Callithrix jacchus: one gene and its partner. The protein of the gene in region 1 purifies or fractionates together with the protein of each later gene. This does not show direct contact. Links are inferred from orthologs where the notes say so. Each region holds a gene or a part of one and is shown on either strand. Other genes may lie near its edges.

Region 1 (3,656 bases):
GGCAGGAGAATCACTCGAACCTGGGTGGTGGAGGTTGCAGTGAGCCGAGATTGTGCCATCGCACTCCAGCCTGGGCAACAGAGCCAGACTCCATTTCAAAAAACAAAAAAACTTGTCTTTAAGGCGTGGCTTCCCCCAGACCTGCAAAGGGGCCCTGAATTGGAGGTCTTAGTGTCAGCAACAGTGTTGATTTTGATAATGCAAGTCTGTGAATTCAAACCACACTTCCAGAACTAGTTGGAAGATAGGAACATTTCTGCATAGGAGACTTGAAATGATCTGGCAGCATTAAAATTGTCAGCCCTGAGGCCTGGCTATGTTCTGGGGGAAACCCTTTGTAGGGTAGACATCATTTACAGACAGGTACCTTTTCTGTTTGCTGTGGCTTCCGCTAGGCTGTGTCTGAGAACTCAATGGAGCACTTGAAAGATGTGCCTGTGGCTCCTGCCTGCCTTTGCATTAAGGGACAGTGCTAACCCTCTCTGGCTGTGTGGGCTGTTGTAGAGTCTGGTGGATGCTGCCGTGGGAGAAGGAGCACGTTGTTGCACCCCTCAGGATCTGCCTGACTTCTGTCTTAGCCACTGTTGAACTTATGCCTGCTTTTGACCAGGTAGCATGGAGTGTTTCGGTGGCATTTGTCATCGAAGATGTGTTAGATTATTATATGCTTTTGGATCCCTCCAGAGGATTAAGACAATTCTAATAATGAATCAGTAAGAGGTATGTTGGTTTTTATTTTCCTCAGTCTGTACTAAACTCAAACCAAGTTCTCATGCATTACTAGGTTGGAGAAACGTACGGTAAGGATATAACCTCCCGGGGCAAAGACAAGCCGATTGCCGTATGTAAAACTTTAGTCCACTTCAGTTTCAAGCTTTCTCTGTTTTCTCATTTCACTTCTTTTTCCTAGGATTTCTTATTAAGCCCCAAGTTCCTTGATTGTTTTATATTTAATTCACTCAAGGTTGGGGTTTTGCTTGATGAACTAAGCTTCATTAGAATGTGACAGTTTACCTAGCGGCTTGAATTAAAGCAGTTTGTGAACTGCGATCTTTCCCTCCTCCCAAGTGAAAGGAGGAGTGGGTGAGAGGGCCCCTCTCCTGGCTGGTTGGAGATGCAGATGTGGAGACTCCTCTTAGAAGCAGCCAGAGCAGGACTAACCTTGTTGCCAGGGCCTTCTTTCTCCGCTTCGGTGTCCCGTGTGGTCGGGCTGTCTGGGCGCAGCTGTGCGGTGCTGCTGAGCTAACTAACCCCACCATGCTTGAGATGGTGTGCCGGGTGCTGTGGTGATTCTTGGATGAGCTTGTGCATGCGCCAGCATTCTTCAAATGCCAGTTATAAAAAGCTGTTGTGTGGGATGTTTCTTTCCCTTTCAGGTACGAGGTAAAGCTGGATGGTTGAAAGTGTGGCTTGGGAATTGTATGCATTTCGTAAAGTAGCATAATTGCCTTTTTCCAGGAGAATATTTGATCAATCTAGCATTTTAGAAATTCTTAGGCGTTTTTAAATTTACTTGTAGGTAAATATTTGAATTTGATTTGACACAAAGTACAGAATGGAGGTCAGAAGCACTCTGCACTGTGTCCTCTGCATCCACTCTTCATGCCTCTGCTTTAGCCACAGCTGCCCTGGGGGCGAGTTCTCCAGAGGCCCTGGCTGTGCTGACACTAGGGCAGTGTGAGCATGGTTTTCAGCTGTGAAGGTGCCAGTTACACACTAAGCTCTCCTTCCTTGTGGAGGGAAGGACCCGAGTAGCAAATATTAGAGCCTCCACTTGGTGCTGGAAACTGTGACAGGCCACCTCCCAAAGGAGTTGAATTGAACCATTGACCACCTAAAAACATTTGTACTTGACATGCCAGTGGGGAGCCTGATTTTTTTTGTAGATTCTGTATTATTATTATTATTTTAAAATTTTATTTTATTTTATTTATTTTTTTTGAGACGGAGTTTCGCTCTTGTTACCCAGGCTGGAGTGCAATGGCGCTCAATCTCGGCTCACCACAACCTCCGCCTCCTGGGTGCAGGCAATTCTCCCGCCTCAGCCTCCTGAGTAGCTGGGATTACAGGCATGCGCCACCATGCCCAGCTAATTTTTTGTATCTTTAGTAGAGACGGGGTTTCACCATGTTGACCTCGTGATCCATGTGCCTTGGCCTCCCAAAGTGCTGGGATTACAGGCTTGAGCCACCGCGCCCAGCCTAATTTTATTTTTTTGAGATGGAGTTTTGCTCTGTCTCACGGAGATGGAGTTTTGCTCTGTCTCACGGGCTGGAGTGCAGTGGCTTGATCTCGGTTCACTGCAACTTCTGCCTCCCGGGTTCAAGTGATTCTCCTGCCTCAACCTCCCAAGTAGCTGGGATTACACGTGCCTGCCACCGTGCCTGGCTAATTTTTGTATTTAGAGACAGGGTTTTGCCCTCTTGGCCAGGCTGGTCTTGAACGCCTGACTTTGTGATCCACTCACCTTGGCCTCCCAAAGTGCTGGGATCACAGGCATGAGCCACCATGCCCAGCAGATCCTGTTTTTAAAATTAACTCTGCTTTTGGGAAACAGGAGAGCAGATTTTACAGAAATGTTGGCATACCTTCATACTTGATTTTTTTTCTGTTTAGATAGGCAGAAAGGAAACATCCCAGGGGTCTGGTCTGATCCTCCCTATCCTCGAAGAACTTCCCATGTCATTCTCCCTTCACACTCCCCATTTTCATAAGTAACTGGTGGCTTGACATGCTGGGTTGGTTTGGGAGCCTCTGACAAACTGAAAGGGTGGATTGGGTGGATCAGGGAGCGTCTGACCAAGCCGCCTATACCTAGTATAGTAGACACGCTCTCTGCCTGACAAGTGCTTCCCAGCAACATCTAGAACACAAAGTGCATGCTTTGTTCTAAGGTCATTGTCTAAATGTTTCCCTGTGTTTCCTTTTTGTAGGATGTGTTCTTAATTTGCTTTTCCCTTGTGAGTCCTGCATCATTTGAAAATGTCCGTGCAAAGGTAGGTGGGGATATAAAGTATGTATGTAAGTTATAGAATGATCCTCTCAGAAAGAAATACTTCAAAATACCATTTACTGCTAGGAATTTTCAGTTAAATTGGATTTTAGCAGTTTGCTACTTAGGTACATAATTGGGTTGGTTTGTTTTTTGAGATGGACGTCTTACTTTGTTGTCCAGGCTGGAGTGTGGTGGTGACATCAGAGCTCACTGTAACCTCGAACACCTGGGCTCAAACAGTTCTCCTGCCTCAGCCTCCCGAGTAGCTGGGACCACAAATGTGCACCACCATGCCTGGGTAATCTTGAAAAAATTTTGTAGAGCTGGTTTTGTAGACCCTGGCTGGTCTCAAACTCTTGGGCTGAAATGATCCTTCAGCTTCAGCCTCCCAGAATGCTGGGATTACAGGTATAAGCCACCGTGCCTGGCTCATCAGCAGTTCATTTTATTTATTTATTTATTTATTTTTGAGACAGAGTCTTGCACTGTCACCCAGGCTTGGAGTGCAATGGTGCAGCCTTGGCTCACTGCAACCTCTGCCTCCCAGTTCAAGCGATTCTCCTGCCTCAGCCTCCCGAGAAGCTGGGATTACAGGTGCTTACCACCACACCTGGCTAATTTTTGTGCTTTTAGTAGATATGGGGTTTCACCATGTTGGCCA
Region 2 (2,852 bases), on another chromosome or scaffold:
TTTCTCAGTGGCCAGGGGCCCTAACCAAATCCAGAAAACACATTAAACTGGCATCTCTCTGTGAAGACATTTATTTGTGTAAAGTCATATGATTATTTTGCTGTTGTTGTTGAGTTGGAGTCTCACTCTGTCACCCAGGCTGGAGTGCAGTGGCATGATTTTGGCTCACTGCAACCTTTGCCTCCCGGGTTCAAGCAATTCTCCTGCCTCAGCCACCATGCTTAGCTAAGTTTTGTATTTTTAGTAGAGATGGGGGGGGTCTCACCATGTTGGCCAGGCTGGTCTTGAACTCATGACCTCAAGTGATCTGCCTGCCTTGGCCTCCCAAAGTGCTGGGATTGCATGCATGAGCCACCGTGCCTGGCCTAATCATATGATTTTTTTAATGGAAAATAACTTAAGGTTTTCTTTTAAGTAATATACATGTAAATTACTGGGCCATAAGTGTGAAACAACTTGACCTATTTTAGGAGAAATATACATTTGAGAGATACTATTTATTTGTATTACTGAAATAATTGACATTAAAAAATTAATAAATAGACATATTTATTTCTACTACAGTTGATTATTAAGATATTTATCTGACCCACTAAATGCAGTAATTTCTGACTTGCTCTGTGCACATCTGTTAAATCCAACTTTGTTCCCAGAATGTTTGGGAACATGTTCCCAGTAAATATTTGTAAATCTTAACATGTTCGAGGTGTCTAAAATTTTGCTTACATCTAAGTCACATGTTGCTGTGTTACTCAGCTATTTTCTGAGTACCCTAGTACCTTTGAAAACAGCAGAAGGACAGAAACAATATAGCTAGCCTCCTCTGTGGTGCTAATATCAGGGGGACCTTTCTGGTGCAAGACTTTTGAAAGTCATTTAAGTTTTAAGAGTACACCGAGATATACTAGTAGAAGAAAACTCGTTTTCCTATTCTACCTTTTTGTCATTGGATATTCTTGTAAAGAAAAAAACTGAAATACAGGCAGATAGCTTTCTAAATTTGCTAAAAGTTAATTATTTTCTTGTTTATTAGATTATATACGTAATACTTTTCATCCTGTGAATTGAATTAGTATTCTGTTATAAAATAATAAAATAACTGATGGTCATCATAATAAATCTCTAAATCAACAAGTAGGTTACATTGCCAGCAGCTTTCTTTGTTTTAAAAGCAGGATTAATATAATACATTTCTAAAAGTTTCTTAAAAATAGTTAAAATATTGGCATTGAAAGGATAAACTTTAAATATTTGATAGCTCATGTAAAACACTTTTCACCCCAATAATTCAAGGAAAATTCACTGATACTGTATATTTCTTTTAGACCTCAGACATATGTGGATCATATGGATGGATCTTACTCACTTTCTGCCTTGCCATTTAGTCAGATGAGTGAGCTTCTGACTAGAGCCGAGGAAAGGGTATTAGTCAGACCACATGAACCACCTCCTCCTCCACCAATGCATGGAGCGGGAGATGCGAAACCCATACCCACCTGTATCAGGTACGTCGGAAAAAGCATATGATGTTTTACCTTAGGACTCAGGAACCTTTTTCTTTAAAGGACAAGATAATATTTTTGGCTTTCAGGTCTTACAGTTTCTGTCACAAGTACTAAATTCTGCTATTGTTGCACGAAATCCACCATAGACTACATAAACAAATGAATGTGTCTGCTTCTAAATTCTATTTATAAAAACAGGGAGCAGGTCAGATTTGGTCTATGGGACGTTATTTGCGATATTCTGATTAGAGCTGACACATTCTCATAAGAAAATTTAGCTAATAAGAATTTAAAATCTGTTTCATTTTATGATAATGTTGTTATCAAGCATATCATGTGCAGTGTATTAAGAAAAATTAAGGATTTTTTGCAATATGGGTAATGGTCTAAGAAATGGGAACCAAAGATGTGATTATTAATACTAATTTGGTAGTAAGAAAAATACGTAAAGAATTTTAGAGAGGACTGGCAATTGCTCATAATAATCTCTCAGTAAAGCTATTTTGAAGTTTAATCTTGTCAGTTATTGTCCAAATGATAAATTTCTAATGGAGAAATATTTGAGAAATTTTCTAGTAGAGATAATAGAGATCAGCTTTACAATTTTCAGTTAAAAATTCAATTTTCTATCACTGACTCATTTGATGTTCCATCCTTAGGAAGAAAGAGAGCTGTACATTTCTTTTTGTGGTTTGTAATTAGCTGTCATTGATTTAACTGAAATAGCATATGATGAGACTTAATAGCTTCAGTATAAATACAGCATTGTATTGGCCACAAGTATTACTACAAAATTGCATTATGATCAATGTTGAGTCATTACAGAGATTCCTATCAGTATAGAATTGAGCATTTTATTTATCAAAGTAAGCATAAAATGTCTGAGTGAATACAAAAGTTGCTTGAGAGAATGAGACCATTTAGACTACTACAAACCAAAGCACCACTCATTTATTTTTTTTGTTGATGTGCTTTTAGTTCTTTTTTTCCTAAACACTATTGAAAATGTTAAATTTCTATAGGAGCATGTTAATTGGTCTATTCTGATATAATTATTGATAGTTGTTTATAGTTTGTTTGGTTAGATTTTCTCTTTAGGCTTTTCTCTTTTAATAACTTGCTAGAATCTCTTTGTCATTTCAGTTCTGCTACAGGTTTGATAGAAAATCGCCCTCAGTCACCAGCTACAGGCAGAACACCTGTGTTTGTGAGCCCTACTCCCCCACCTCCTCCACCACCTCTTCCATCTGCCTTGTCAACTTCCTCATTAAGAGCTTCAATGACTTCAACTCCTCCCCCTCCAGTACCTCCCCCACCTCCACCTCCAACCACTGCTTTGCAAGCTCC

Evidence for each region. Proteins that work in one complex are often made in the same cells at the same time.
Region 2: the proteins of RAC1 (region 1) and WASF1 purify together in Homo sapiens (affinity purification with western blotting; 3 studies listed by BioGRID and IntAct, with this or other methods). This does not show direct contact. The link is inferred for Callithrix jacchus from reciprocal best matches to the Homo sapiens genes RAC1 and WASF1.

Annotation. Positions count from the first base shown.
Region 1 is NC_133503.1:16,134,988-16,138,643, forward strand, and holds part of RAC1 (ras-related C3 botulinum toxin substrate 1), read left to right. Parts: intron 1-784; coding exon 785-841; intron 842-2,933; coding exon 2,934-2,996; intron 2,997-3,656. UniProt on the Homo sapiens protein: Plasma membrane-associated small GTPase which cycles between active GTP-bound and inactive GDP-bound states.
Region 2 is NC_133505.1:116,273,918-116,276,769, reverse strand, and holds part of WASF1 (actin-binding protein WASF1), read left to right. Parts: intron 1-1,325; coding exon 1,326-1,505; intron 1,506-2,648; coding exon 2,649-2,852.